Drosophila melanogaster: one gene and its partners. The protein of the gene in region 3 interacts with the protein of the main gene of each other region in a pairwise test. Each region holds a gene or a part of one and is shown on either strand. Other genes may lie near its edges. The genes, in order: CG7379, CG9689, MSBP and Sqor.

The links.
Region 1: the proteins of MSBP (region 3) and CG7379 interact in a two-hybrid assay, tested with the Drosophila melanogaster proteins (one large-scale study listed by BioGRID).
Region 2: the proteins of MSBP (region 3) and CG9689 interact in a two-hybrid assay, tested with the Drosophila melanogaster proteins (one large-scale study listed by BioGRID).
Region 4: the proteins of MSBP (region 3) and Sqor interact in a two-hybrid assay, tested with the Drosophila melanogaster proteins (one large-scale study listed by BioGRID).

The regions. Positions count from the first base shown.
Region 1 is NT_033777.3:17,793,324-17,801,387, forward strand, and holds CG7379 (uncharacterized protein), read right to left. Parts: upstream 4,982-8,064; 5' UTR 4,787-4,981; coding exon 4,645-4,786; intron 4,564-4,644; coding exon 3,611-4,563; intron 3,550-3,610; coding exon 3,343-3,549; 3' UTR 3,053-3,342; downstream 1-3,052. Other genes in the region: pasi1 (pasiflora 1), read left to right, coding at 2,042-2,316, 2,378-2,477, 2,540-2,590, 2,672-2,755; CG17803 (uncharacterized protein), read right to left, coding at 5,677-5,917, 5,985-6,305, 6,362-7,200, 7,401-7,727, 7,803-7,838.
Region 2 is NC_004354.4:9,878,956-9,886,803, reverse strand, and holds CG9689 (uncharacterized protein), read right to left. Parts: upstream 4,852-7,848; 5' UTR 4,777-4,851; coding exon 4,255-4,776; 3' UTR 4,052-4,254; intron 3,989-4,051; 3' UTR 3,134-3,988; downstream 1-3,133. Other genes in the region: CG9691 (uncharacterized protein), read right to left, coding at 1,937-2,302; CG9686 (uncharacterized protein), read right to left, coding at 6,366-6,854; CG1468 (uncharacterized protein), read right to left, coding at 7,617-7,848.
Region 3 is NC_004354.4:15,883,097-15,891,628, forward strand, and holds MSBP (membrane steroid binding protein), read right to left. Parts: upstream 7,014-8,532; 5' UTR 6,813-7,013; intron 6,653-6,812; exon of another isoform or gene 6,637-6,652; 5' UTR 6,567-6,636; coding exon 6,206-6,566; intron 5,401-6,205; coding exon 5,248-5,400; intron 5,173-5,247; coding exon 4,940-5,172; 3' UTR 4,471-4,939; downstream 1-4,470. Other genes in the region: tay bridge, read right to left, coding at 1-37, 98-271, 337-1,278, 1,347-2,798; CG15916 (uncharacterized protein), read left to right, coding at 7,576-8,391.
Region 4 is NT_037436.4:4,235,914-4,244,493, reverse strand, and holds Sqor (sulfide quinone oxidoreductase), read right to left. Parts: upstream 4,322-8,580; 5' UTR 4,220-4,321; exon of another isoform or gene 4,156-4,219; 5' UTR 4,099-4,155; coding exon 3,971-4,098; intron 3,709-3,970; coding exon 3,603-3,708; intron 3,543-3,602; coding exon 3,318-3,542; intron 3,260-3,317; coding exon 3,059-3,259; intron 3,001-3,058; coding exon 2,791-3,000; intron 2,591-2,790; coding exon 2,404-2,590; intron 2,351-2,403; coding exon 2,034-2,350; 3' UTR 1,891-2,033; downstream 1-1,890. Other genes in the region: pav (pavarotti), read right to left, coding at 1-119, 180-729, 788-1,546, 1,606-1,616.

The DNA of each region.
Region 1 (8,064 bases), on a different chromosome or scaffold from region 3:
CCAACTTCCAACTACCAACTGCTGCCCACACTAAACAAGTTAACATTAAGCGTCGGCAGCAGTCAGCAGTCAACACCGAACAATAACAATAACAATAGCAATAAAAATAAGAAACACGAGAGAGAATGGTCGAGGGGGGGGGGGGGGGGGAAGGGAAAACAAAACACGAAAAAGTATCTTCAAAATACACTTATGCTGTCTTTTTATGGCATATCTTTTACTTATTTGCCCGCACTTAAGTATCGCAGCTCTTTTCTTCAGATTTTTCCCCTTTTTATTTTCTGTTGTTTTTTTTTTTCTCAATTTGTATTTGTATTTTTATTTTCGTAAATGAAATCGAAATATGGGTCGTCGGCGCGCAGTCTGATTCCGATTCCGCTTTAATTTTTTTTCGAGCCTCCCCCCTCAAAAAAACCCCTTCGAAAATCAGAAAAATCAGAGATGAAAAAACTCCTGATCTCGAAACACACTTCCACTTCCAACAAGAGATGCGAGCAAAATTTCGAGAGCATTATTGGCACGAATTATTAACCTTTTCTTTTGCCATGCTTCATTTTTTGCTGGGATCCAAATTACTTTTTTTTGTGGATTTTTTTTTTCGGTGGTGCACTTTAAGCCCACATCTCTTTGGGGCGAGAAATTGGCCCAAACATTCATACAGCGTACGTATGTGCGGAATGAGCCACAATTCGGCACGAAAGATCGTTCCAATTGGAACATGAGACCGCGACGAGTGCACCTCCATGCATTCGCATTCGCACTCGTATTCATACTTATTCATACATAAGTCCAAAGAACTTTCACACAACTGGGTTAATGGCTAATCATCGAAAATGTAGGCGCCTTCTGATGTACCTACTTGGTATGGGAATGGGTTTGGGATCTGGTGGAGCTGACCTTGCCCACGCAGTGTGGGTACTGTGTTATGCCCTTCGATTCAACTCGATTCGATTCGATTCGGGTTTTCACCTTTCTACCGTTATGCGACGATCACTGGGAAGTTGCCACTGCGCCACTATGTGCGTTTGAATTCCGTGCGAATCGCGCGGTTAATCCCACTGATAACTGATTCACGTAGCGCGAGCGACTTGGGCCTTTTTCGGCTTCTGTTTTGGCGCTTTTATCCGCGGAGACCTCCGAACACGGCCAAATGTAATTGCCAAATGAAGATCACTCCAACAACCGGCCCTGTACTCTGCCGTGTGGTTGTTGTTGCTGCAGTCGCCAGTCGACACATGGTGAATATTCGAATTCAGATTCGGTCAGCTCAGCTGCTCAGTGCTGCACAGTGGGACCGATCGATGGTCAGATATTATTATTGTTTTTACAAGCTTGAAGAGTGTAAAACAAATTTTAAGCTAATTCACAATTTAAAAATTATATACCTAGTTATATATATCAATTAATATATTATATACCAATTATATAATAAATTAAACATTTGATAAATATATCTTAAAATACATTGCTGTACATTTGTTAGTTAATAGAATTATAGGAAACATAATAAATATTTTAATATACTGTACAGTGCTCATACTCGCGTTTCAGTTTATATTCGATAGTCATCGATTATTTAGTATCATACACTTTTTAATTTTATAATCATAATATTTATTAAAATATTCTCATACTTTAAATTTGCAAACATTCTATTTACTGAAAATGTCTTCAATTTATTAAACATATCATAACTTTTCGCGATATATTTAACTAAATAAATATCGATAATTCCCTTTTTTACGCACGCATGGCAACCCTATTGCTCAAGCCGTTGTTGTTTTTCTAATTAAGCGATTATTATTTAAAAAAAGGTACGCCCACGCCCTAGAAACCAAAACAATCTGGACATTTTAAAAGGATATATCCAAGGTTAACCTTTAGAAGTAGCTATCAATTGAAAAGCAGAAGAAAATCATACATTTCGACTGCGTTTTCATTGACCAAAATATTTGGGCGTTGACGCTGTCACGCAAGCCAAAGAAATTTGAGATCGGAGAAGTTTGTTCATTGGTGTCTCCCGGTGTTTTCCCACAGCAACATGGTAGTGCTGAGCTCCTGCTGGTCGCCCATAATTTGGTCGGATAATGTCCGGACGGGAAGCTATGCCGTGGCCGGCTATACGGCTGCGCTATCCGCCGTAATGATCACGCTGATTTCGTATATGCTAGCAGGCGGGGAGTCTGCGCAGCTCTATTCCCCGCTCTTTGAGACGGATATACGTTCGTCGATGCCCGTGGCAGGTGGCTTCTTTATCATCTACTTCCTGCTAATCATCCTGTCTTCCTATTTGGTCTACTACGGTATTAAGATCAGGTAAGACGAGCTCTGGCTTCCTATATGTACGGATATAGTCATGCTTGCATCTGTTTCTCAGCACTCGAGGATGGCTGCTACCCTGGCTGGGTCTAATTGGACTAGCCATTCTCTTCCAGTTTAGCTGGAGCCTTTGGCTTATTGGAGGCTACTATATTTATGTGAGTAGCGATTATCTTTTCCATTAACTAAAGCTAATGAATTCGTGTTACTCTACCGCCAGCTGGAGCAAACCTTCTCGGCCCTTTTGAACTTCGTTTGGGTAGCCTACAATGTAAGTGTTTGAAATTCAAGGGACAGCAACACCAACTCCTGTATCATTATGTTTATAAACCCATTTTACTCATCCACTTAGATCTATTGCTGGCTGGTGGTCTTCTCGCAGTACCAGATATTCCTGGAGATCCAGAATCCGAACATTGAGCTGCTCATGCCATGATGGAAGAACCTCCATACAGAAGCTCGAATAATCTATTAGAATACTTTTTGACTTGACACGCAACAAGAACTCCGTCCATGCGCATTTTTTACAATAAGAATTCCATACAATTCCACAGATGCCTACCAAATAGTTTTATATAAATTTATATATTTTACACACATTTATACACGATCAATTATACTTATGTGTAATTCGAATGCCTTAGTCTTCTAAACGACAATTAAACAAATAGATTCGTAAAACTACTGCTACTGGATACGGGCTCCTTGGGGCCAAGAAATTATTGTGGGTTTTGAATATCAACGTTTATTACCATAAATTAAGTTTAGGTGTACTCTAATTATACGAGTTTTTGTGTGTTTACATTGAGAAAGATATTGTTTGTACAGAAACTTTAAATGAAAACTGACGACCTATAACCATAGAAGCGAGGGATCTAAACTGGGTGAAAGAGGGGAAAGTCGAAAAGGGATCGGGTCTAAGAAAGTCACTAAATATACATTAAGGTAAATCTTAGGATCGAATATTTTACAGAGCCTGGTGTTAGACACAGAGCAATGGGTTGGATAGGCTGGCCTAATAGACTAGGTCTTCTCCTCCTTTTCCTTGTTGTAGCGCTCCAGTTCTTTGAGGAACTGCGCCTTGGGTTTCATTACATTTGGCCGTTCTCCGCGGCAGTTGGGGCAGAACCACTTGCCTTTTGGTTTTAGTACCAGGGAGACGCACGAAAAATGGAACCACTCGATGGGGCACAGGTCATTGTCGCACAGGATCATCTCGCCAAAGGAGATCTGCAATAGAAAACGTGATTAGTGGCGAAGCTTTTCGATAGGAAAAGCACTGCGAACTCACCTGATTGCAGACACAGTAGGTCGGCTCGTCCGGATCAATGGTCTCCGGCGGCGGCGTCTCCTCTCGCGTACTGGCATTGGCATTTGAAGCCCCAGAACCGCGTACCTTGCGCTTTTTCTTCTTGCCGGAATTATTGCCACCAACTACGCCGGCTCCGCTGGCACCACCACCTCCGGCTGCTCCACTGCTCGTGGCTGCAGAGCCGCTAGCCAAACTGCCAGAAGCCGACTGCAGACTGGCCTTTCGTCCCTGTCCCGCTCCACTGGCACCGCCCAACGAGGATTTGCGCTCGCCACTGCCACCACCACTGCCACTGGCTTCATTTGCCGAGTTGGACTCGTTGCCGCCCATCTCCAGAGAGCTTCCGTTGTTAACAACACTCTCGTTTCGCCTCCTCGACCGCTTGCTACCTGTGCGCTGCAGTTCTCCGCCTCCTCCGCCGCTGGCATTGCCATTGGAGCCGCTGTTGCCACCATTACTGACATGGCTCGAGCGCTCCGAGTTGGGCGTTGAGCCGCCACCGTTGCCGGAGGTCATGGCATTAGAACCAGGCACAACACCACCTGCATAGCCGCCCAAGGCGTACAGATCTTTGGCCGAAAGCAGGCCGTTTCCATTTAGGCCACCGTTGCCAGTGCCCGCTTGGTTGCCCTGCTCCCTCATCGGGCTCTGCAGGCGTTGCAGCTTCGAAGGCGTGCCATCGTCCAGGAGCGCATACCGATCGCGGTCCTCCTTCAGGTCCAGGTTCTGCTGGTCGGTGTCCAGCTGGCGCAGCTTGCCGTCGATTATCTCCTGCATATGATTGACGATCTGCATTTTTTCGTCGCCCAGTTCCTGCGCCTGAATGAGACTCTGGTGCATCCTGGAGATGCTTCGAGACCGTCGCCCGGCATCCGCGGAGTTCTGCAGGGACAGATACAGGTCGTAGTAGTGGTCTACGTCGCGAATGAGGCCTGCAAATCGACGGGTTTGGACCAAGAGAGGAGGTTAGGTTTTCCGCTTTTCCAACAGGCGTAATCTCGGCCAGAACTCACCTCTGTACTGGACGTCTATGTCGCGGATGCGTGACAACTGGCGCTGCACGTCGTCCGGCAGATTTTCCACCGAATCGATATAGTTGTCCACATAGGTGGCCGAATTGATGGCCTCCGACTCGGATGCAATGGGGTTTATCATCGTGTTTGGACTGCGAATCGCTCTATTCCCGCCGCGACATCGGCTCGGGGACGTGGGTTCGGATGTGAGCTACTCTTCCGGCGCTCTGGAAGGGATCGGCTGGCTATATAGTACTCCGATTCCACTCAGTTCCAACTTTTTGTATGGCGTTGCGAGTCGCAACTTGCGACTGTACTCGTGTGTGCGTGTATGTGTGCGTAGGTATTATTTATATGTATGTATACAATGGGTGGTTGTGCTTTGCAACACTAGTCGGCTGGTGTTTTGCTACACTGAAATCGGGGTGGTTAACGGCACTGCTGTTTCGGTTGAATTTTTTAATAAATAAGTAATATTGGTTTTAATAGTTTGTGGTCAAATATCTTCTCATCATTTCCCTAGGCAATAGAAAGTATTAAAAATATTTTCCCTTTAAATACAAATTTAATTATTACTTTCAGTCCTTTTTTTGTATTCATTTTATTACAATTATCGTAATTTTAAAATCATGTATCATTCATTCAACGGCCAGTGTAGGAAACGTTCAAAACCAACCCCTTACTCATTTGCCCGGGAAACTGGAGAATTTCAAATAACAGTATCAGCTGATTTTTTAATTAGGAAAAACAAATGCACTTATATTATTTTTTAATTGATTATTATTTAATATTAATAATATAAATATTTATTGTTCCTTTCATGAAACATACGTCTGAACTATTCAGATTTGTATTTAGGTTGTCAAGTCTATTCTTCATTAAGCTTAACGTTATTAAATGCATAATACTATTATACGAATTATATATTTTTAAAATATTGTTCGTGCATTATCTTCTATGTCGGCACTTACTAAACGTCACCTTAGAAGTATTACGTACTTCGCCATGAAAGTATATAAATTTTTATAAAAATTATATATATTCAATAGTTTGAGTCTTTTCATCCTGAGTTCTGGCTCGCACTTCCTGTGCATTTGGCTGCATTGGTGTTTGAGATTCAAAGTCCATTTCCTTATCAATATCTTTAAATGCTTGTTGCAGTCCATTAACTTCTTCTTTTATAGCTTTCTGCATATTATCCCGATGCAAATCGGTGTTTTTGTGTTTGTTTAGATTATATCTATGGCGGTAGTGAACATCGCAGATCTCGCACCTGGCAATATAAATCAAGTAAAGAAATAAGTAAACGGACAGTAGTCGGGATTCTCTTTTGCACCCACCGATGAGGATGCATTCCTGTGTGTACATCCTGATGCTTTGTTAGTTGGGAGCGCAGCAGGAATCCCTTTAGGCAGATGTCACAGCGAATGGGAAACTTGTCGTGCAAAGCTTGATGTCGTTTCATGGCAGATGGGTCAGCGAATTTCATCTGGCAAATCTTGCACTGGAAGGGTCTGCTTCCGTTGTGGAAGTTCATGTGCAGGACTAGACCTTTCTTGCTGGTATAACTTTTGGTGCACTGGGTGCAGTAATGGCGACTGGATCCCTCTTCCTTTGATTTCACCCGCGTTCGAATCCGATTGCCTGCTCCGTGAACATCCCTGGAGTCAATCGAAGTGATTAGATGATGGAACCATCAAATAGTAGGTGCACTCACCTCTCGTGCCTGTGACGACTGCTTGCGTTTGCGAAGGACTCATTGCAATGGTTGCAGGGAAAGGGATGCTCGCCCTTGTGCAGCGCTCTTACGTGAATGTTGCGCGTATAGAGATCGTAGAATTTCTTCGGGCATTCGGGGCACTCGAAATTCTTGGCCCTATTGTGACGGAGCAAGTGCATCTGCAGCTGACTGCGTTGGCGAAAGGTGTGGCCGCACTTGTCGCAGACATAGTTCAATGGCTTCGCTTGTATCCTTTCGCGGCGCCTTCGGTTTTTCTCCTCTGGACTCACCCTTAGTTGAGGTTTCTTTGGTAGTGAAAGCGAATACTTTGGTGCAGTTTCCTTTAGGCTATTGTACTCACCGAGCACAACCTTATAGACCTTGGCTCCGTGATCTACCTTACCAATCTCTTCCTTAGTCTTACACTTTCGTATGCTAATTATTTCATTACATGACTTGTTTTGCTCCAAAGCAAAGTCTTTTTCTGTGTCTCTGTCTAGATCCAACTCATCTTCACTTAGTGAAAACTGAGTTGGCTCTGCATCCAGTGGAAAGTCGTCTTCATCCAGGACACCCTCACTATCCGGCAACAACTCTGAGCTGAAATCTTCTAGTCCTACGACTCCCTTTGCCTGCTGGGCGGACTCTTCGTAGAGCACATTTTCCAGCTCCGACTCCATTTCCTCGTCACAGATTTGAATGTTGTACTTTTCCGTCGTCTGCCTAAGCTTTTTGTCGACCTGCTGGCATTTGGCACGGAATTCCATGGATTTATTCACAGTTTCCTGGCACGTTGAGCAAATGTGATGCGGTAGCTCTTTGACTCCTTGTTGTATCTGCAATAAAATGTTAGTTCTTTAATGCAGCTTTATTATAATATTATATAGTGGGTTTATTTTTCTGTTAAATTTGTGGTAGAACAGTTTAAGAACTCACATATTATGTTCCTTGTCAACAAAGTTAACTTATAAAACGAAGATGAAACAATTTAACAACAAAAAAGAAAACGTAAGTTTAAATGCAGACGCAGACGTACCCACACCCCAGTGATGACCTTTATGTGGTGCAGAAGCGCTATGTTGACCCTGTCATATAGATCCTGAGCATCCTCATGCCGCGATATGATGCGAAAGCAGGTGCGGCACTTGCTTGCCGGCGGGGGATCGCATTCCTGGAGCCCAGTGCTCTCCTCTTCGAAATCACTATCAAAAAACGCACTGTCTGCTGTGGTCGTGTCCAGGGCAGTGGATGTGGTGCAGGTGGCGTCACTGTCGTCTGCCTCCGCCAGGAATAGCTTCACAAGCTTTTTGTTAACCTGCCGCGAGGAGCGCATTGTGTCTTTGTTGTCGTTTGACTGGCGCACCTTGAATGCAAAAAAAAAACGAAGGTATACATAATATACCAGATTAGAATATTAATAAGAGTTTGAGTGACACACCCATTTTGAATCGCTGGCTGTCCTAGACGACCTCATCTGTGAAAGTTATTCGCAAATAATTTGAGCTCTCCCGTTTTCGGCAATGTTGAGTCGATGAAAAGTTTCGCGGACTGTTGGGAAAGTCCGGAATATGCTTTCTTCTTTCACCGAGATGTGCTTGGACTGGCGAACTCGCAGAGGAATCTGTTGCCGCAGATGCGAACTGCGCACTTCATCCTTTGCCGGCAAACTGCGAATTTCTGCAAAACAGCAAGCACAGTTT
Region 2 (7,848 bases), 6.0 Mb from region 3:
TCTGGTCATTTTCCCTTAAACAAGTGACACTCCGTTGCGTTGAAAACAAATCCTCTCCACATCCAGCTGCAATTTCAACTCAGCTTTCAAAAACCAAAGTGATAATCTGATTTATGTGAAGTGTTTATTTTCGTTGGCAGTTTTTATTTGTTGATTGTGACATGTGAGTCAGTTGCCTGTGTATGCTGATTGCCTTAATTGTTTCGGGCTTCGACACTGCGACGCATGTGCAATTATGAGTAATTTGCACAATAGAACAATTAGTCTAACAGCCCCAACAACCAGTTCAACAGTAGCCACAAAAAAGTGAAGTGAGCCATTGCGGAAGTCTCAACTAGAACAGCCTCATCCCAAACTATGTGCTAAAGTTCAGGTACGTTAGATCAATTTTCGTATGTAACTACCCTGCGAACTCATTCAATTGGGGGCGAAAACAAGTTGTAATTCGATCAATCGATCAGGAAATCCTACTTGGCATGCTGGAAATGTCATGACATTCATTAAAAATTTGTACGCTTTTTTTACCCGCTCGACATTGGGACATCCGCACTCATAAGTGAATAAATGAATTAGCTAAATGAAGGCAAGTCGATCAAATAGAAGCTGACCGAAATGTAAACAAGCTGCGAGTGACAAGACAAATGTCTAGAGGCAATAACAAAAAATACATAACACACACTGACGAGAGGGGAATTTTCCCAGAAATATCGCAGATTACTGGAGGGCAGAGGGCACTACTGATTTTTAGTGCCTGGATTTATGTCAAGGGGAACCTACCACTTTTTTTCCTAATTAAAAATAACTTATAAGGGAACTAAGGTAAGATGTATAATTTGAAATAGTAACTTAACTTAGTAGGCAATTTTTAAGTTATACGATAAGCTATTATCGTAAATAAATATTTATTCTTGCCTAAAACGTTTACTTTTCAATCTTTTATTTGCATGACTGCTTCTCTCTTTTCTGATGTGAATATCATATGTATTTGGCTTATATCGACCCACTTGTAATTTGTTTCCCTTCGACAAAAGAGCATGCCAATTCAAAACTAGATCACTTTCAAATACATATATTAATTTAATGCTAAACAATGTATTCCGTGGTTTCCCCGATGCCAACTCGAATAAATCCCTCATAAATTACAGGCCAGCAAAATAAACAGACTGCCCGTCATGGTGACTGATCAGCAGCATCTCGGCTATATAATTTCGATCGGCGGTGAATGAACGTTGATGATGGATCGTCAATGTTTATAAAGGGGGAGAGGGTACGATGATGTTTGTCTTTATGTTCGCAATTCTCAGAAGCAAATGTTTACGGTGCGATTTACGATTCAAATGTAAATCACTTGCGGCTTGCTATGCCATCCAGTTGTTTATTGCTTTAATGTGTCGCTTTTTGTTACCTTGTTTTCTTCCCAATAACTCAACATCAAAACTTTGTGTACTTGAGGGAAAAGAACATTGAACTGTCTGTTCTACAAAATGAATGGTTACGAAGTGGTGATTAGTAGCAGACATTTTGATCGTTTTCTGCTTTCTAGTTCATTGTAGTTTATTCTATTTAGTTTTGGTTATATTGTGATTAGATTTTCTTGTTCTCCTTGAATGTGTACGTCGTTTTGGGTGAAAGATTCCCAAATAATTGATTTGTTGTTTCCCCTGTGTGTCTAACTTAATTAGCCCCCAACTGATAACCATCGATCTGTGATCCCCGCTTATCAGCCATACTAAAGTCGCAAAAAACACAGCTCACGATTCCAACATCACTTTAGTTTTTATTAATATAGATCACAAAGAAAAAAAAAAAAAACAAAGAAAACTTATGCAACGAGACGGAGGGGACCTTCAAGCGATTGCAAAATCCCTGTAATCATAAGATTAATGGGCTGTCAATAAACTGGGCTTTTGGTTCGGATCGAATGGGCGGGCTGACCTCATGGGATCGGGGTGCTGGGTCCTCCGATGGGGGCTAAAAGGACCTTCTCGGTGGGGGCGTCATAGGCCACTGGAATTTTGGGCGTGGTCGATGGCTCATCGGTCAGCTTGTGCTTCAGTTCGTCGTACTTCTGGGCCACCGAGCTGCCAAACTCCTTGGCGCCCTCGCCGATCTTGTCGGTGTAGGGCTTGGCGGCCTCGGCCACCTCCTTGGCCCCCTGGTTGACCTTGCAGCCTAGGTTCTTGAAGAAGTGCTTGAATTCGCTGTCCTCGGGACTCTTGGCCTCGTCGCACTCGGCACGAACTTGGCCAGCGGCCATAAGCAGGACCAATCCGATCAAAGAGCACACAACGAGCGATTTCATCTTTACGCTTTCAGCTTGACAACGCGACTGACTGATCGCTCCGCTCCGAGACGGCGGTCTACGATCTGAAATCTCGGATCTCCGCCAACCGGTTACGCCCCTCCCATCCCGCCCGCCGCAACTTATCCACCCTGGCTGAAAACTAAATCCCAAACAAGTTGCGTTCGTGCGATCGGTTGTTTGGCGCTCACTCAATGCGAGCTGCTCTAGCTTTTTTGTAATGTAAGCTTTACTGCACTGCGAGAAAGTAGATAGATGTTTTTAAAGGCCCTGAAAAGATCAACTATATAATGTTTATCTTAAAACATAAAAAATTAAAAAAAAATCTATAGTGTTTTCTTAGCTTGTTAAAATGAATTTCATTACTTTGAGCTTCGAACGTTTTTTGTCTATTTATTAGAATATTTATATCTATGATTATTAAATAATAGTCTTAATCAACAAAAAAACTTGCGATTAACGGGTAATTATTATAAATAATTCATAAAGCTTGTTTTGAATTCAATTAAAAAAAATTGTTGCAATTTTAATTTAAATTTATAGAAAATTATTGATGAATAACGTGAATGATATGTTTATTTCAATTTATTCGCTTACATTCTGGCTTTCTGTGTGAAAAGTGTGCTCCATTAAATGTTTACTTATTGTTTATACAAATTTTACGCGAAATTGATGGATAATCAACTTAAATGAACAAAGCTACGGAAGCGTTTTTATATATCAAACAACTATCAAATGTTGTCAACCAACGCTCAATTTAATATTATTTGCACCCCAATTTACTTTCCCATGTTACAGATAAGTTGTGAAAGAAAAACAATCATTTCATTTCAGATATAGATAATTATAAGATCATTATTTCTTTATTCACGCTACAAAAAAATATTTGCTTATAATATATCTGACTACAGTTGCAATTTATACTGTGAGTCCGTTAGCGCTGTGAAATTTATTCTTTGTGGTGTTAGGCCTTTAAAGTGCATTGTTTTGTTTTTATAATAATTTAAAAAATATATATTATTTCTTGTGCTTGTAGAGCTCGAATTACTCATTTGGGTGTCCCATTCTTTTGACCCGAATTCCGACTTCTTTGGGGGGCACATGGCGGCCTGGGACGTGTGGGGTATACCCAATTGTAGCAGCAGCCGCGATGATCCCTTGCAGAGCATATAAATCCCGACCAGACCATCCCCTGGATAATTGGCAATGACAGGGAGATGATGACGATGATTATCAGTAGTCCGCTGGTGCCCAGAAGCTGCATCTTTCCCGACGACTGGCAATTAGCAATTGAAGCCCATCCAGTGAGATCGGCCCAATGAGACTCCTGTCGCTGGGATGATTCACTGATTCACTGATCCGTTGAGACCAAAACCGGCTCACAAGTTATGCCGGAGTTGCAGGGCTTCAGTTAGCAGGCTGTTTGTTTATTTTTGGCCAATAACCACAGTGGCAAGAAAAGTCCAGAAGAGAAAGTCGGGAAAGAATCACAATCAAGTGAAGTGAGTCACCAAAGCGGAGGAAGCGGTTCATTAAGAACTTAAACCCAATTGGCTCTGTAGTCACAACAAGTTTTTGGGTTCCAGTTATGCTAAATTCAAGATTTCTTTTGTAAACACCGGACTTGAACTACAAACACATTGACCCTTTAGATTTGATCTATTTAAATCATTTCGAAAGTGAATTCTGCAAACAAAAAGATGTATTAGAAATAATAATATATGAAATGTGTTGTATACTTGAACTTACCCATATGTATACCAGTTGCAATGATGAATCAGCAAACGAGTTCGTACATTTTACATTTGATATTTTACAAAATAGATTATATAAAAATATATTAAATTAAATGCTGTAAATTCATAAATAGGAAAGGCTCATCGAATAAAGAGCAACATAATTTATTAATTAGTATACATATATATTAGCATAGTGCTTAACTAAGTGCTTCACTAATTCTTCTCTGGAATGTAGTCCACCTCATTGGCATGATCCTCCAGCCAGTCCAAGTGAACTGGCGGCGCAGAAGTGGTTAGTTCCTCCTTAAGATCGTTTTTGGAGGAACTCGAAGCCTCCGATGTGGAAGGGGTGGTCGTGGTGGTGACCTCCTCCGGTTCCTTCTGCTCATCCTTATCCTTTTCCTTATCCTTTTCGAATTTAACCGGTGAGGCGAGCACATTGACCAGTTTATTTATGCGCTGGAAGAGCGATATGGTGGCATCCCTGGCCTTCTCCTCCAAGATCTTGGCCTCCTTCTCGATATTGGCTATCCAGGGCTTGGCCTTCTCCAGAGTGCATTGCAGGCTGTGGACGAATTTGTTGACCTCACTGGTACTGGGAGTGGTCACCGAATCACCATCCTCTGCAGACTTAGCCTCCGATCCGCAGACAATGGAGGCTGCCTGCATTTGACCACAACTGGCAAAGAGGCACAGGCTGGCCAAAAAGACGGCGATGGTCAATGAATTAGTCATCGCAATTGTGGATCTCGAATCTCAAATCTTGAATATCGTGTATCGCCTCTGAGGCCCCACAATCGACTGAAACCCGTTTGCAGCCGCAGTCGTAGCCACTTGACCAAGTTCTTGGGTATCTTGTGGCTTTTGGGCTGCGCCATTGGGTTTTCGAGCTACGAAGCTCGGCGAGAAAGTCGTCGGGCAACAGAAATGCATTTTCGGCGAGCGAAGAGAGAGGCCTAGAAAAAATGAGACTTGGGAAATGTAAAAGGCGGGAGGTAGCGGAGAGCCGGAGAATTCTCCAGAATGTAATAGAGAAAAAATGGGAAAAGAGAAATATTTACGGCTACTTATTGCAATTGTAAAGGTGACTAATCCATCAAGTTCAACTTACACACGGCATCTCAACTAAACTTTTAAAAGAACACCCGGTTTAATGCAGCTGGACCATTGTTTTCGTTGTTATGGTGAAAAAGCGAATGCCTCAATGGTGGGACATCAGAAAACGACTATTGGAAAAAATTCGATACTAACGCTTTTTTGTCGTTTAAATAGCTAATAGCCAAAGAATAAACTGATTTACAAATGGTATTTTCGTAATAACTTGGCTGAAAATGCTCATAAAGATGAAAGAATATGTAAATAACTGATTATTTGATGACCAAAACTCGGAAACACGGCTTTTGCCAAAAACTTGATATATACAAACGGAATTTTCGTCATAACTTGGCTAAAAATGCTCATATATATGTAAGAATAACTGTTTTGAGCAGCTAATTACCAGTGCTAACGATCCCTATCACTTTTTGAAGAATTTAGGAAAATTAATTTTTCGGCCAATTTTTGCATTTTTTGTAAGGGGTAACATCATCAAAATTTGCAAAAAATGGCAAAAAAATTTTATTTCCATATTTAAACGCAGTTTGATTGGAAATTTAATTACGAGCACAATGATATATGGCATTCCATATTCAGACAATTATTTTTAAAGTTATGGCAAAAAAACTGTTTCTGAAGACCGAAATTCGGAAAAACGGATTTTGCCAAGAAGTTGATATTTACAAACGGAATTTTCGTCATAACTAGGCTAAAAATGCTCATATAGATGTAAGAATAACTGTTTTGAGCAGCTAATTACCAGTGCTAACGATAAATATCACTTTTTGAAGAATTTAGGAAAATTAATTTTTGGGTCAATTTTCTCATTTTTTGTAAGGGGTAACATCATCAAAATTTGCATAAAATGGAAAAAAATTTGAATATCATTTTTTTAATACAGTTTGATTGGAAATTTAATGACGAACTCAACGAGGTATTTAGTTCCACATTTGGACTATTATTTTTTTAGTTATAGCCCAAAAACTTATCAAATATCTCAGAAAATTAAATTTCGATTGGGTATTGCATTAATTACTCAACGCAATATGGCACAACTTATTTGGAGTATTATTTCCAATACTTTGTTTAAAACACTAAAAATTCACATACCAAGAAATAGGGACTTTTCCACATTTGTATTTTTACTGTCCATTTTTATTTACACATAAAAAAAAAAAACTCATAAAAAAACTTAAGTGTTAACGGGAGGGGGTAGGACTCTTTGGGGACTATTTCCTCAATTTGCTGCAGTTGCCCAAGGCATCCAGAATGTGTCCATGCCCACACTGCTGCTCGCCCTTGAGGATGTCCGGATTGATAATCTCCACGTTGGCCAGAAAGCCGCGATCCTTGCTCATCTCCTCGGCGGAATCCTTGGCCAGCTTGTCGCGGAAGTCATCGAAGCGATCCTTGAGATCGCTACCCAGGACCTTGGCCTTCTCGCCCAGCTTCTGGGCGCCCTCTTTGAGTTCCGTGCCCAAGTCCTTGGCCTTCTCGCCCAGCTTCTTGGCTCCCTCCTTGATGTGGCATCCCACGTTCTTGAAGAAGTCGCGCACCTCGTGCTCCGAACTGCTACTGCTGCCCGTAATCTCCGATATCTTATCGCTCACATCTCCAAGTCCGGGTATCTTGTCCTCGCAATCGAAGAGACCCGCCTGACTTTGAAGAAAAACTCCGGCGAGCAGCAGGAGGACCAGCGATCCTTGCAAGCTATTCATCTTGATATATTCGGTTCCTTTGGCTTTATCCACAAAAACCAGACTGAACGTTGACTCCACTGATACTGGACTGACCTGGGGCGCTTCGATTTCCACCCATTTTATTCGTATCGCCGTCGCCTTTGTGTGTCACTTGCTTCGCATTTTCTTTAATTCAATTGGCGAACGGCAACAATCATCGCAATTGTGCGCTGATTTAAGCACAACTCGACAAAGATACAAATACACAATGATATGGATGGAGATACAGCTGCAGGCCGATGATTCCGTGATGGTCATTCAGATAATGTTGCCCTTTTAAATGTATATCCTAGTATCGCTACGATTTCCCAAATAAATACGATTATTTCCCCGTTAAGCCGGAAGCTGTGACAAATATGGCATATAAATAGACCATATAGTATATATACTAAACGAGATACGTTCAATTGGTATTTACACTCGACTCAGACGCACTAGTCTGGAATTGACCTACAATGGCACGAGCTACTAGTGATTATATAACAATTGGCGAGGCCAGAACATTCTCGAAAAACTGCAGATATTTGAGGGAGAGGCCATAAAACAGATAAAAACTGCTACTGCGATTTTTTGCAGAATTTTCTATAACATCAAAAAGTTACATGCATAACTTTTCTGTCAACCCTCGAAAAGACATTTATGTAGCATTACATTATGTAGCGCAGTTCCGCTATTGCCATTTTATTGATGTTCAATTGAGTCAACAGATCGAATCGATCATTTGCTGCTTTTCATTTGGGTCTAATTCCAGTTGCCGTCATCATTAGCCCCAATTGAGTGGATTTGGCTATCGTAAGTGCCATAGGGGTCAACCTCCTGATACTCCTGATCTCCTTGATCATCTAGATCCTCCTGATCCTCAGAGTCCTCTTCATTGTCGCCGAACAATTCGATATTATCATCTGTATCTGGTGCTTCTGTCGGTTCAGTTGTAGGTTCAGTTGTGGGTTCAGTTGTGGGTTCAGTTGTGGGT
Region 3 (8,532 bases):
TATTTCCTTTGCTGTTGCTGCTACAATTGGTTGAAGCCTACATTAACAGAAGATTCGTTTTAACAAAATATTTTGCGTTGAAGAAATGGATTCTTACATCGTTCAAAAGATCACTTTGCTCGTTTTCCTTCTTTATGCTAATGCTGCTGCTGCTGCTGCTGCTACTGGCCCCAAAGGATTGCGCCGAAACATTGGCCAGCTCCTGAATATCCAGGGAGCGGCAGGTCGCTGAATTCGTCACGGTTTCAATGTTCTCCAAACCCATCGACTTCTGGGCAACGAGTTAAGATAACTATTAGTAAATAACATCTTATCGGACAGTTGAGGTGGACTCACCTTTGCGACCTGTGCTGATTGCGAGCCCAGTTTGCAGACACCCAGGTGATTACTGTTTGCGTTTGCATTTGCGGCGGCATTAAGATCACTTGATATTAGATTATTGAGCTGGTGCGTGGGCAGCGGTTTTGTTACGTGCAATTGGTCAATAGTGTTACTCGTGGCGGGGGAATTGTGAGATTTTTTGGTGTCGCTGCTGCTGCCAGTACAACTGGCGTGAATCACACCAACGTCAATGTGGTCATGACTATGCGATACGGCGCCACCAACGCCCAGCGATGGCAGGCTGATATCCAACATCAGTGAATCGTTGTCGTTCTCCAAAAATCGAGTACTAACAGTAGCACTGTTGTTCACTTGCATTTTTGCCGCATTGCAACCACCGTCCGCCGCCTGTTGTTGCTTGCTCGATTGGTTGTTGGTTGTGTGGTTTATTTGGTGGCTACTATTGTTAATTTGATTATCATCACTAATGTTATTATTACTTTTACTGTTTGCGCTATTGTCCGATTGCAATTGGTCTTGCTGCTGCCCATATTCGGATCGCCAATGATCCCTGGGCTCGGCTTCCGTCTCCAGAACATTGCCCACCATGTTCACAGATGGCAGCAGGTAGACCACGTTGGATAAACTGCTGCTATTGCTGTTCGCGTTGGGGCCATTGCTGTTGATCATGCTGTTGTTGTTGTTGCTGCTGTTATTGTTATTATTGTTGCTAATGACATTGCCGCCACGATCACGATGAAGGCTTGGCTGCGGGTTCTCCTTCAGATTGTTATTGTTAACAGTCAAAGTGGACAGGCTGGTGACACGCAACGGTTGCGATTGACCAGTATCTATAACCTTTGGGATTTTCATTTCCTCTATACTGTAGGTACAAGTTAGCTCGTCCAGTGCGGATAGACGCTTCTCCTTCCGCTTCTGTCCCAATTTGATGGCAAACTGTTGTGAAGAAAGATTATTACAGTAGGCTGCGTGCACGTATGAAATGAAATGGCAACGAAACCTACCTCAAGATCCTCGTATGTCTTAAACTCCAGTATAGCGAATCCATCGATGATTTCCTCCTCGAGCACCGGAGATCGTGGCAGCTTTCTTCGAACCGGAGGTGGTGGTCGAGGCGGTGGCTTGTCGCGCGGCAAGAGCAGTGTGGACGAGGACGAGGTCGAGAGCAGATCCTCGTCCAGCGACTCACCCTCGCTATCGCTAGGCGTGGCCATCAATCCCGAGTTGCACTCGGGGGAATGTGGTGGATTTAGGAGTAACGATGCAATACTATCTGTGGGCGGCAGCAGATTGTTGCTGCCATTGCTGCTGCTGGTGAAATTTCCATTTGAATTGTTGCTATCCTCGCCCATGCTGCCAGCGCTGTTGATGTGATAGATCATCCCATTGTTGCCGGGTCCTGCCGCCGATCCGTTGCCCATTGCAACAGCCGAGGATCCGCCACCGACGCTACTATTAGGCGTGACGAGGCCAACTCCACCTCCCTGGCCACCGTTGGCCGCACTCATGGCACTGCCGACCCCCACAGAGGATCCGGCTATGAAGGTGCCACTCAGCGAGTTGGCATTGCATCGACTGTCGCGTTCCGCTTGCAAACGCTGGGCACGTTCCCTCCGGCGTTTCTGCTGGCGCTGTTGCTTGGCATTCAGACTCAGATGAGTACTGCTACTGGAGGTGGTGCTGTGGCCATTGGTATTCCCAGCAGCCACCGCTCCTGATCCCGCTCCGAAGCCGGACTGATTACCGGCTATGCTAGCAGTGCCTCCCGCACTGGAATTCAGCTGTGGCATTATTGTGGATCCCGCCGCCGTCGGAGGAGACGTCGGGGATCGCGAATCTATGCCGGCTGAGGCGGAGACGGCCGCTGCAGCTGCCACAATCGAGAGTTCCGTGTCGGAGTCAAAGTCACAGGCACTGGGAGCCATCGATACCGTCGAAACAGATGGACAGGTGGGCTCCGATATGGAGACAGGTGATGCCGGGGGAATCGCTGCCACGGCCATGGTTTTGCCGCCATCCGATGCCGACGTCGCCGTCGTCGTCGTCGCCGCCGTCGAGGAGGTGTTCGATACAAACGATGGCCGAGCACGAGGCATGGAGCCCAGATCGGCTATATTGGCACTTGCTTGAACTAAGGCGGTCGCCGTCGGCGGAGGAAGATGCAGTACCGCCAGGGCGCCGGTCGAACTCTTTGATATACTCTGGCCCACTACCGTGAGCACTGTGGACTGTGGCTGTGACTGCGATTGCGACTGGGACGACTGTGAGCTGGAGCTGGAGTGTGAATGTGAGTGGGAGTGCGACTCGCTCTTCTCATCCTGGACTGGGACAGCGGGAACGGAGGATCCGATGTCCTGCGACGATGATATATGCTTGATTTGGGATCCTATTCCATTAATACTACTGCTGCCCGACGCAGACGTCTTTGATTTAGCGCTGGCATTTGATGTGTCCATTTCTTTTGCTACGTAAAGCTTCCAGTGGATTACACTTCAGTTCCTTTTCCTTGGGAATACAAATTATCGATGAGCATTATTATGTATATTGCTATCTGGACCAAACCTTTTCCAATGCATTCGACTATTATTTTTATCTATATTTCTTTACTTTTTTTTTTTTTTTCTTTGGAAGGAGGGGTTTTCTATGCCAGCGATAAGGCGAGAAAGCTTTACAAATATTGGATTTAAGGTGCTACTACGGCCGATTCAATCGCGTGTATTTTGAAAAAATCGATGCTGCGCCGACTGTTTTTACGTGATATTGTTATTTGGTGGCCACTGTGGGGTTTTTCACATTCCGACCGGTTAACATATTTGATTAGAGTCACTAATTTGGTTAAAAATAATAATTGTACAAGTTGTTTTCATTTCGTTTGCTCTTTTTCTTGTAGTCAACTTCCCTATTGCGCTTTTTTCTGTACACACACACATAATATTTAATTCTGCACACTTCTTTTTTACAACAAACACTTATTGTTTTTTCGGGTCAGTGGGATTGCACACAAATCAGAACAGATGTAAAATATAATAAAAAAAATAAATAACATAAAGCCGATATGAGAATTCACCGAAAATAGTCCATATTTATTTTGTCTAGCACTTTATCATTCGTCATATACTCTTCTTCTTCTTCGTATTCCTCCTCTGCTGCTTCTTCGCCTTCTTCTTCTTGAAATATATGTATGCACATATATGTACGTACATGCATGCGTACATATAAATTCGTACGAGTATACGTATGTATATTTATATACACCAGTTCGGTTTTGCTTTTGCTGTTGCTTTTTTTCTTGCTTTCCTTCTTTCTTTCGGCCTTTTTTCTCTATGCCTCCGTGTTCGTGCCGTCTATAAGTCTGCCGCTAGCGAGTGCACAAACCATTCAACCAGAGTTTCACACCGTTGCCTTTGCAAATAAAATTACGATAAAATAATTTTTTTTTTAATTAAAGAGAACATTTTGAAGCAGCTTCTTTTTTATTTTTACTCTTTCGCAGAACTTTAGTTGGCTTTTCTCTTAAAGATTTGCAGAAGCAGCGCAGAAACAGAAACAATAGTGTCATCTCGCTCACACTTACACTTTTCTAATTGCGACATACGTACATACAAAATACGACAACGACAAATACAAATACGACGACGACGACGACGAATTTTTGTGAACTGTATGCGATTGTTCGTACATTTTTACATTTTCCACACACACCGAACGCACAACGAACGGCCAAAACGATCGATTGTGCATCAACGCGTTATAAGCATCGCTACCAAACTAACTGTCATCACGGCTATTATGTATATTTTACATAAAATCCAATATTATTTTCCGAAAATTTTGTTAACCACAAAGAACCAACATAGTCTCTCAGAGACGGACCAAATTTTCGATAGCTGCAGAAAATCATTTTCAAGGGGATAACATTATGATAACTATCGAAGTAGCGGCCAGTCTCCACTGGTGGCCGCGATTTCGGGCGTTTCACACCGATAACAAGATGCGAAAAGTTGGTTTCAAAAAATACTGGGAACAAATGGAATAAATCAAAATCCATTATTAGGAAAAAAACCTGTTTTTTGCTTTTCTTGCAGTTCAGGATTCCCCCACCTCCCAAATAAAGATATTGAACGTTTAAGTATTTAATTTGTATTTCAAATATAGTTACATTTAAATTTATATTGCCACGAAAATGACTCCCATACCCTCCACACATTGGCCTCCTCCTTAAATAATTTTATGATTTCCGTTTGTTACATTTGTATGAATATACGACTATAATATATGGAACAAGATCACATCACAACGTGAATTATAGTAACAACTATAGCTTTTGTCAAGGCTGCACTCTAAGAATAACATTCAAAAACGATTTTATCTGTTTTAAATTCTTTTGAAATGTTCACGATAAATTTAATGCCTTGATTTGTACGGTTCAAATTGGGGCGTGTTCTTTAAATGTTTTCCAAATAGGTCTTGTTCTCGATTTTAAAGGAGCAGAGGCAGCATCAAAAAGAGTCGGAAATGCTATTTAGTTTTGTTGTGTTTCTAACCGAAAGTAAACTATTACAGCCACATCCAAAAGCAAAACAAAAAACCCGATTCGCTAACAGTCGGTAGAAGGAGTGGCCTGATCTTGTGCGTTATTTTTGTTTGTTACATTGCTTTGCAAAATGTGACTTTCCTTTTCTTGTTTGGTGTCATCAGTCTCAGTTTTCGACTTGGGTAGGTTCTTTCGCTCTTGTTCATCATTGTTAACATTCTCCTCGTCCTCATCATCGTCATAGTTGGTTGGTTCCTCGCCCTTGCGCAATAGCTTACCAACCAGCTCATATTTTTCTAAATAACATAATGAGAACGTTAGTTTACCTATGAATCTGAGCATATACATATATATATATATGATTTAATTACCCTTAAACTGCATTTCCCATTCCCGCACAGAGTCCATTTCCACGGCACTTAAATCGCTCAGGTCATCGTATTCATCCTTGTCAATTGAAACCACGCTGAAAGTGGCCAAGTTTCGCGAGGCATCTCTACCCGCAAAAGTTGCGTAGGGTCCACCTGAAAAGCAGAGAATCATCATATGTTACTATCTAAATATTTATATAGTTTTAGTTTGTTGGAGTCAGCAGTCTGGTCATCAGGAACACGGCACCGTTGATAGAAGATAGTATACAATCAAGTGCGCAACTTAAGGCTTTTCTGCGCATCTACGTCACAAGTGTCGTGCATCTTGCTCGCACTCGTTACTTTTAGTTAAAATACTTAAGGAAAAAGTGCAAGCCGTTGTTGAAATGCCACTGGTTTCTGTTTGGTGTCTTTGAACATTTCAATTAAGGCATTTACATTAGGAAGTATTTCGATTTGATAAGGCGGACGACAACTATTTCATATGAAAATGACGATCATGGTGAACTATTTTTGCATTTCATGCTTAACAATAAAAACACCTAGTCGACATTTGGTAGGCATTATTTGATTATTGAATTTGGTTAGATAGTTGCGTTATCTCAAAACGAAAACTTTCTTGTTGATAAGCTGTTAATCTTAGCGCAAAAAAAAATGACGAAATATAGCAGAGATATGAGCATATGTCGTGCAATATCTCCTCCCACAGAAATTAAATGCGATTAAGAGAGTTACAGATATCAGGAAAACCAATATTGTGACGTAGCATTGCAATTATAGATAGACATCGTATAGAGGGATATAAATAATGGGATCTTGGCAATGAAACACATACCAAAATACCAAAATCCCTTCCTTATAATCGGCAATAGATCAATCGAAAATAGTTCTAAAGGTATATGCTATACTGTAAGCTTAGGAACAACTTAAATTCAAATATTTATAGCCTAGCACTCACCTGGGCCGTAAAAACGCCTTCCTTTGCTGACATCGTAAACACTTCCGTTGACGGCGACCAAAACACGGCCATCCGGCTGAGTTCCATCGTACTGGCGAAGCTCCTTCACGGTAAAATCGCGTCGGATTTTGGGTAACTCAGGTTCGGATGGCTTTGCAACGCCCACGGATGGCACTTCGGTGCGATCCCGAACGATTTTATAGACCAGGAAGCAGATGATGGCCAGGAGGGCCAGGTTCATTGGACTGTACAGGATTTCGCGGATTATGTTGCCCAGAAATGAGGAATCATCGTTGTTTAGATTGTTGCCGATTTCCTTGTCGTAGGCCGAACTAGGATCTGCACCCACTTTGGAATCCATCTTGTTCGCTTAATTTACTTGCTGCACTGGATGTCGCTATGCACTGAATGTTACAATATTGTACATCAACCTGTGAATTGTGTATACTGCCATTTAATAAATATGCGTTTCGTGTTCGGATTTTATGTAAAAAAGCGGTTCGGTATTCCGAAAAAAAGTGGTAAATATATGTAAGCGCAATGGTAATGGACCAAAATATATGTACATATGTAATTGCAATGTAAATTCCAAAGTTTATTAGCTCACCTTTTAGACGTGCCGTCTCGATTCGATTATTTTCATATTCCTCTGATCAATTTTTGCTGCGCAACAATGATTTCATAAATTAATACCTTTATTGCTCAGCAGCACCGACCTTTTGCGACTTACTGTATTTACAATTTTACGAACTACCTATGAAAATTGTGACAATGATTTTAGTAGGTTAAAGGTCTTTCATTACTGAAAAGTAATCGAAAGAAGCGATATCAGCGTGTTGTTAAACACCAAACAGATATAACGCGGTCTTTCCACTGAAGTTTTCTCATGGAACGGTGGGAAAAAATATATATATCAACGTCGGTTCTCAGTGAACGGAAATTCCAAATTTATATATCGTAACGTTATATTTTCGATTTTTTCCGATGTTATTCCAAATTAATAGAATATATGTTAATATTTTTATAATCTGAAACACGGAAAAGACAACAACTAAAATGCAATTTAAATTATTAAATAAAAATGAGCAAACTTGGTTATTTAAACACTTGCCTGTTATATGGCATGTTACTCTGCAAGCAACTGTCGAAAATCAACTTTTATTCTGTGAATTCTTAGATATGAAGTTAAATGAAGTGCAAATAAGCTATCCCCCAAATTAAAGTGGTCCAGAGTGCTCGAAATTATCGTCCATCTCTAACGCATTTTAAAAACGCAAGTGGCTGGTCTCACTCATGTTATTCCACATTATATTTTGTATTGCATTCTATTTTATCTAAGCTAGCAAATATATTTAAGGCAACTAGACTAAATGTTAAGCATTCGTGTTTTAAGGCTACAAAATGGACACTCCGTTCTTAACAACGCCTGCCAATTGGCACTTTCGCGAAACAAGAGCTCCAAAAGGTCGAGCAAAGACAACGTAACGCGACAGGGAAAAATATTTGGCTCGTTGTTTGGAAATCGGCTTAAAGGCAGCAAAAGCCATTGGTATCCATCGCCCGATGCAGGAACATCAGGCAATCAAAAGTCGCTGCACGCCTTAAAGTTTGGAACCCCACACTCGAAGACAACTTGCAGCCACAACAATCGACGCATGTCTGTTCTGAACAAGTTGTTCATGACGAACATCACTGATATTCTGGCCACCGGCGCAGTTGCCGATTCCATCGTGGGACACGGAGTGCAGATTTCCTATGTCAAGATCACCAGCGACTTCTCCCGCATCAATGTCTATTGGATGGGCAAGGATGGCGGGGAGAACCAAGAGCTCGAGAACACATTGAATCGCATGAGCGGCAAACTGCAGCACGAGCTATCGCAGCTCCATCTGATGGGCGAAGTGCCAAAGATCAAGTTTGTCCGGGACAAAACGAGCACTGGTCTCCATCAGGTCCACGAGGTTCTGTCCAAAATCGATCTTCAGCACAGTTACTCTAGTTCAAATGCGGAAGTTGAAGAAAGCGACGCACAGAGTTGTCAGACGGCTGCGGATGAGGAATGGCCGGAGATGCGACAGGATTTCCTCAGTTTTAACCATAGCTTAGTTATGGACAAGATTCTCGGCAAGATGCGCAAGTCCAAAGATGCCTGGGTTAATCATAGACAAAATATTGCGAAAACCTAACGTTTGTTAAATCCCTCGACTTATGTACATAATGTTAATTATTAAAGTGTTATTCAATCCAATGTAAATTGGGTTCTAAAGTTGAAAATAGGGGTAGGGTCTGTAAACGTTTAATCATTTTCCAATAAGTTTGAAATGTTG
Region 4 (8,580 bases), on a different chromosome or scaffold from region 3:
GCAATCTTGAACAGCTTGTTGGCCTTGCGACGGCCGGGAGTCAGACCCAAATCTTGCTTCATAGGAGTCGCCCGAGCAATTTGCACCTCCTGGGTCATCTCGGCGAACTTCATCACTTGCTAAACGGGATAAATAAATTTTAGGGACCAGAGTACATTGTTGTCAGAAAAATAGTTTACCATATTCTCATCATAGTCCTCAATTCTTGGGTTGATGCACACAATCATGGACACCTGGCCTTCGCCATCGAAGTAGTTTTTAAACATGTGTGTGATCTTGGAGTCTCGATAGGGGACCTTCTTGGGTGCCAATCCATTGCTAGCCGCGAGTTGGTTCTCGCGCAGATATTCCAGGCAAGTGCGCAGCGTCATCAGCGAATTATTGATGTTGCCCGCCTCACGGAGTCGCACACCGGTGTTCTTGGTCCTTGAGGATCGCTCACTGCCCGCCAGATCCACCAGGGACAGTTGACTCACTGTGATGTTTTGCCGGTCCTGAACCACATTCTCACCCTGGCTATCAGTGGGCGCCTGCACCAAGCGTATATTGAACACCGAGTGACTCCTACTGGATTCTGCATTGAGAACAGTGTGTCCCATTCGTTTGCGCTTCTGGCCCATTTGAAAGACCTCGAGGGCGTCCTCCACGGTCTTGACCTCCACCTCTGTGACGCCGTGGACGAACATGTGTCGATTGGCATCTTCACGAATGATTTTGCTCTGCAAAGTCCTGTCGGGTCAAGAATACAGTTAGATTTCTTTAAATGTAATGCTTAATAAATACTTACTTCTGTATACCCGAGTCCTCAAGGAGGTCGTAGACGCTGTTATTGTAAATTTCAATATAGGTGACAAACACCGAGTACATGTTGTCCTCATCCAAACCCAGCAGCGGAATTGGCTCCACGGAGGCCTGGGATGCAATTTCCGGATCCGAGTCCTTGTGCCTGAAGGCAAATCGTCCTGAGCCAGCAAAACGCTGGTTCATCTCGTGTTGGCGCTCCAAAAGCGCATCCTCTTCGGACAGGATCTCGAAGCCATTAAGCTTGTCCGGCTTGAAGACGAACTTCTTGGCCTGGTAATCTGAAATGGTGCGAAAGAGCACGTCCAGGCAGCGCGGCATGATGCCGCGGTGTCGCAGGTTGCCGGTCATGGTGTACGTTTTTCCACTTCCAGTCACGCCGTAGGTGAAAAGCAGACTGTTTCGGCCTTTCAGTAGGTTCTCCACCAACGGCTGGGCCACAGCTGCGTACACATCCTGCTGCGTGGCATCCGGCTGGAAAACGTGCTTGAATATGTACTGAACCTCGCGCTGGGCGCCGTTGTGTGGCTTGTGATGCTGCAGCAGCTGATCCTGCGGATTCAGTGCGATCGTCGTGGAGTTCTTGACCCTTAGGGAGGTGAGATCTGCGTCGGATTGTAGTGGCCGCACTCGACAGAACACATTCACTGGATCCCTGGCCTTGTCGGAGGTGTCTCGTCGCTGTTTCTCCACCGTTTGATGCACCCGCGGAGTTTTCGGGACGACACGCATCGGCGTCCTGGGTCTGCAAATGGGTATTCTCATTGATGGAGTTGTTCTTTCGGGAACTGTCATATCACTTACACTGCCTTCATGTTGTCAGCTCGTTTTTGCAACTAATTTGATATACGGGAGTTGGGTTTCTTCTTGTTTTGTTGCTGGAATCGATCTCTCTTTTAGTTCGTTACCTTCAAATTTACAGCGCCAAGCGACGCCACGCTTGGTTTTAGAGTGACCGAACTTTAGAAAGCGGTTAATGCTGCAAATACCATCCCCTGCTCCAATATATACTTGATACATACTGAAACCGAGGCTATGTACAGTGCGTGCCATTTGAATAGGTTAAAATATTTAGATATACTAGATTTTAAACTAATTTAATACTTTTATTTATGATCTCACATACCAAATTAAAAGTACAATGTTTATAAATTAGTATGATATTAAGGTATGGAATGGTTATGATGATGCCAAATATTCTTTTAAAATTAATTAAAGATCATTTGAGGTCCCTATTGCTTTTTATTAAACTTTAGCACTGAGAAAATTTTCCGCATTAGTGCCGGTCCGTTCCAGTAGCCGTTCATCATCAGCTTCCAGTAGAGCACCGGCATCAGCTCCTTCTTCATAAAGAACATGGAGTACCTCTCCTTGGACTGGTCCAATGGAAAGGTCTCCACGGGGGTGAGGTTGTAATCAAACTCAGCCAGGATGCAGGAGCTGTAGCCGGTGACGATGGGGCAGGACGAGTATCCATCGTAGATATCCGTTGGGGCTTTGCCCTCGATCGCCGCCATTACGTTTTTGAACACAACCGGTGATTGGGCGGCTGGAGGTGAAAAATCAATTGAATATTCTGATCAGGATTCCCAACCCATTTACCTGCCGCCGCGGCCGTCTTCGAGTTGGGACTGGACGCCGAATCGCCGATGGCGAACACGTTGCTGTACTTGTTGTGCTGCAGCGTCAACTGGTCGACGTCCACAAAGCCAGTGGGGGTTACCAGTTTCTTGCAGTTGGCCACCACATCCGGAGTGCTCATCGGCGGAGTCACATGAAGCATGGAGTACTGAGAAAGATATAATACTTATATAAGTTTAATTTCATGGCCTTCAATTCTCCTATTTCTGCAATACTATACGACTTTAAAATTGATCTTAGTTAACCTACTCTTCATATTTCTCGCTTTAAGTAGAAAGATATAGTTCTAGGATCTAGATCTAGATCTATATAGTATCTAGAATACCCAATTAATTGACCAGCACTTACCGTTTCCTCATAGTGAACTCCTGGTTTGGCGAGATCCTCGAACACGGCTATATTATCTTTATGTCTCACTTCAACGAGATTTCTTTGAACATTAAGCGTGATATTTCTCCTCTTGATCAGTTTCATCAGGGCCTCTGCGTAATGCTTAACACCAAAAATCACGGGAAGCGATGTATTGTAGATGATATTGACGTTGTCGCGACGACCCATCTGAAAAGGGTTTCAAATTGAAGTTGTTTGCCAGATATTCTATCTAAATGATGCACACCTTCCTAAAGTAGTGCTCAGATATATAGGCGATTTTCTGCGGTGCACCTGCACACTTAATGGGACAATTGGGAAACGTGAATATAGCATTTCCTTTGTTGGTCCTGCGCAGACATTCGTACACATGATCCACGTACTTGGGCGAGTAGATGGAGCAAACATTACTGTCGGGGGTCTCCAGGGCCTCCACCAGGCCAGGTATCTATGGATATGTGGATATGGATATTAGCAACTATTAAACGTACTGATACCCTACGTACCTTTCCATAATTGAGCTGCAGTCCGGTGGCGATGATCAGGAAGTCGTACTTGATGGTCTTGCCACCAGAAGTGCTAACCGTATTATTATCCGGATCGAACTCCAGCGCCTTCTCCTTCACCCATTTGGCCTTTGTGGGCAGCACATCGGCCATTTGGCGGTGGCTCTGATCCAATCTCTTCATACCACCTCCTATTAGGGTGAACATGGGTTGGTAGTAATGTTTCTATGGGGAATTATCGCGCTATGTCATAATGGATTATTTACTGCCTTTGGGCTTACTCACATCTTCCGGTTCCAGGACGACCACCTTGTCGCTGCCCAAACGTGAGGACAACTTGGCGGCCATGGCACACCCACCGGTGCCACCGCCCACAACCAGCACTTGGCATCTGGAAAAAATAGGATTTACTTAATTGCTGGAATATACAATGACAGACACCTCAAGGGAGATTAGTACAGTCGCATGACCACACCCACCATCAGTGCCATCTAACCATGGCCAACAAGTTATCTCTTCGTTATCGCCATTAATTAGTTACTAGCCTAAACATACTAATTCAATTTGTTTTGGTAGATATAGATATAGATTTGCCATGCCATTTGTTTCGCGGAAAATGTCATAAACTTTCGCAGCTATATAAACAAACTTACTCTTGCCGCTCGCGGTTCACTCGAGATGTGGACAGGAATCTGGTGGAGAAGGCCGTTGGAGCATGGTTGTGGGTGGCTAGGAGAAGCTTCTGGCACTGGCTGATGGTTCCTGGAAGGCGACGGTTCATCGCAACAGCTGGATGATCTTCGATCCCTCAATCTGCGTTAAAGAAAAACAAAACGGACTGCAAGTGCCCACAACCGATTGAAGACTGGCAAAAAAGAGCTTTCAATGGGGGGTTATCAAACCGGCTGCACTGGCAAAAAGTTTGGTCTATTTCAAATTTAGAAAAAACTTTAGAAATTTAAAAAATGCCGAAGATGCTTAGGCGGCACTGTGTAGTGCTTCCCAACATTTCGACCGGCTATCAAGGAAAACAAAACGAGTGTGGGAAAATTTGTCAGTGAAATCGAACATAACAACTGATTTTGAACACAAGTAAATAACACATTAGAAATTGTTAGAATTGTTTTAAGCGTACTAATTTGGAAAAAGTGTCAGGCTTCTAAAAATGTGGTATTTCTTAATTTCGCCCGTCGGCCATAAAAATCAGAGTGTACGTGGCTGAAAACCAGTTTTTATGTGGTAATAAAAATGGGGAAAACGCAACAGGTTGCACTGTAGTTTTCGGATGGGTGTATTCATAGCTTAACCTTGAAAGATGGCAAAAGCTTTTCAGCATGCTTTTGTACTCAGCTGTTTAAAGCTCATTTGGTGCTAAATAATCCAAAGCTCTAAAGTGCGCGAATGCTCGAAGCACTTAAATACTATCTACAGTGGATTTTGCCTACAGACAACACATGACATCATGCCTTAAAATACGAGGACTTAATTCTGAGAACAGCAAAGAATTGTGTGCTTATCGGGGCTCAATAAATAAAACAATCTGTAGGTGGCGCGTGTGCTCGGACCACTTGCTTTGTGTCTACAGTGGAACCCGGCGATAAGCGACCCATGAGATCATGCCCTTAAATACGGCTCCTCAGCGCTAACAAAGTATCATTTATTTGCCTGCTTATCGGGGCTAACAAGCGTTTTATTTGCCTTCTTAGTGCATCGGTTTATATTTATGGTATACCTCCAGGGGCAACCTTATCGAGTTTGAAGAATTTGAGTTGCATTTGCTGGTAACTGGCCATTACACTGTAAAAATATACGCATGCTTTCTAAAGGATAAACAAAAAAAAAAAACGCCGAAAAACTCGCATATTTTTATAATCAGGCATGTGGTTAAGTAACTGGTTTAATTTAAAATTGAATATTTTCACATTTGATTTGATTACTTGCGAGTCTTATCAAGCAATTCCTATAATATGTGGACATTAAATAAATGGTCAATTAATAGATTGCACAGACTCTAATCAGAATATGAAGGTCACCAATAAATCTTATTAATAAACTGCAGCGGTCATCTACTCATATACGTCAAACTCTAAATCAAGTTTTAAAAATTGCAACTAATATAAATTAAATGATTTTTGCAATTTTTCAGATGTTGATAACAATTTAATTCCATATTTAAATCAAAGTATTTCGTTAAAAAAGGAGATTTAAAAAACTTGTCTTCCCTTAACTTTCGTATTGTTTGATTTTTCTAAGGGTCTTTTAGGATCCCTATGTCATTCATCGTTAAGGGTTTTACTTAAAATATAATGATCGGACCCGAAAAGTTATATAATGCAAATGTTTTATGCCCCGGATTTTTCTGGGACCTTGAATCTATAGCTACTTCAGAAATAGATAAAGATATTCAAGTTAAATTAAACTCTTTTAAGATTATATCATGAAAAAGGTTCCAGATATTTCAATTAAAATTAAACATGTAATTTATATAAATTTCGATTTCTGATGAAAATAATAACAATAGTAAATTAGGGGTCTTTCCACCAAGCTTGTTGAGTACAATTTCCCTTCGGATCCAGGGATTTTCCACGGCTCCCCATTCCGTGCATTCGGATACGAGCAGATAGATCGATGTTGCTAATAAATATGGTAAATGTGGGATGATTAAGTGAACAATGTTGCCAATAAACGCGAGGCGGACATGTCAAACGCCACGAGACGACAACTGTGACAGCGGCGGGTTTAATTACGCCATGCTGCCGACTGATTGCAGATGGGCTTACGGATGTGGGATGTGTGGGCACATAGATGGATGGCTGGATGTGGCCACACACAGCCCACTGCGTGGGCGGGTGCTGAGGGGCAGGTCCTGGCGAGGTCCTAGCGTGGGCCCGACCCGCCGCCATGAGGTGGCCCATCGTCAATTGGAGACAAGCTGGCAATTCAAATGAAGCCCTATTGACTGATGGCCAAATTGGCTCCGCGACTGCGTGGGCGGCTATTCGAGGGCCAAGCGATAGCTACGGATATTTATAAGAAAACAATGGGTGGTTGGGTGATTGGCTGGCCTGCTGGCTGGATGCTTGGATGCTTGGGTGGCGGCTGGGTGCCTGGGTGGTGCTCGTTGCCTCTCAAACGGGCGAGGGGCCGCTTTAAATTGGGCGTGGCAGCCGCTGTTGCTAGGTGACCATTTTCACAGCCATTTCCAACTGCGGTGGCAAGGTCCCATCATCATGTGGTTCCCGAACCGATAATGACCAAGCTGGTGGTCATCATGCTGGCTTTCCCCGGGCTGTCTGTTGCCGTGATTGCGTGAGCTCCACTTCATTTGAATATAACGGTGGCAGGCCACTTGGAGCACGTAGGCCCACACAGTGAAAAAATGGCTGAGAATATAGGTTTAATGTAGTTATCAGATTTTAAGATAGACAGCAAATACGTGAGATTATTTAATTGAAACATTTTAGAAAGCATTACTTATTCGTAATACTTTATCTTAAAATTAAAACAAATTTTTAAATTGAACAAGTAGAAAGTGGAAATGCATATTTACACCAAAGAATTGTTCTATATATTTTAATATTAGACTGATATATTATAAAAATGTGTCATCTGCTGTCGCAGATAAGAGACCTTTCTAGATTTAAATATATATGTGGCCTTAATTTAATTAAATTATTTGAATACCTTGAAAATATCACCACCTAGTGACGAATCGCACAGATAAGAGTTTTTTTTGCCAAGCAAAACATTGATGAGCCATCACTTTTGAGTACATTTTTTTTTCACTGTGCGTATTTAGATATTTTTCCGGTTTTTTGTGGTATATTCCACATAAAAAGTGGGCGTTTAAGAAGTAGCAACAAAGGCCCATAGAACTCTAATTAGGTGGCCTATTCTCGTCCAGCTGAAGAGCATTATTTGTGCTGATATAAGCCCCATTGTAATGAGGCGGATTACCAATTTTGGTTGGATTTTTTCTCCGTGCCCAGACTCCTAGACTCCGAAGTGCATTTCAATTGACGCCACACCAAAATCAATTGCAGCATCGTCTGTGGCGGGATCTTTGTGCAATTGGTACCGGGGCTCTGGAATGCAAATAGCGGACACCGCGGCAATTGATGCAGAGTCTCCAACTGGAGGCAGCAGGTCTGCCATCGCCATCGCTATCGTCATAGCCATACCTATATCTGTATCTCCAGCTCTACATATATCCATAGAACCACGGTGATTGACTGTCTGACCGGAAAGCAGATGGAACTAATTCCCGTCGAGCCGAATTAAAATCGCGACCTGAACAAATCCGGAATTATCAGCCCAAAGGCGGAGGCCATCAATGTTGGGAATGGTGGGAAATCAGAAGGCACCGCCTCCGCCAAGTGACTGGCATCTATTGATCCTTGTGAGAGTCACCGCCATATGGTAATTTGTGGGATCGAGGCGCTTGAGTGTACTGTAAAAAACCGTAGTGATTTTCATATGCATTTGGGGCACGCATTTCATTTCATTTCATTTCATTTGATTTCCAGTCCGATCCGAACGCAGCCGATCCAATCTTCTGCGAATGTTAATGAGAAAAATGTAATTTAAAATAATAAATTTGCATACAATTTTCTTTGCGAGTCAATCAATCAAAGGGGAGCAACAAGTAACTCGGAGCCAGAGCCACAGCCATCCCATCCCCTGTGAGCCACCCCCTTTTTGGGGCTAACGAAAAAAATATAAGAAACCCGAGCGTGGACACGAAGGCAGCCGCCACAGATACATTTACAGATACGAATGCGGATTGAGATACTGTATCTGTAGAGAGTGCCGACGCCATAACTGTTATTAAAGCCCCTGTAGAGTCCAATTTGCTCGCTCGTCCGTTTGTCCATGCGTCCGTTTGTCCGTTTGTCCGTTCGTCCGTTCGTCCCGCATTCGCCCACTTGTTGATTTTTGGTTCGGTTCGGGCATGCCCATGCCCATGCCCATGCCAGATGCCAGATATAAAAGCATGGACGCTCAATCTTCCGCCACACAGTCCATCATCACTCGCCACATCTCGAGCAGAACGGAGCTCCACCGAGAATCGACCATATATATATATATTCACATATATATACAGAGCCGAGAGTATAACTGCAACTGCAGCCTGAGTTTTAGTCCAAGTGAAATCGAAAGCCCACCTTAACGTATTCCATTTCCACCGGAAACTCCAGCCGAAGTTCTAGAACTCTAGTGAAAGTGCCAACGAAGCTTCGAGTGAACGTCATCCAAAAAACAA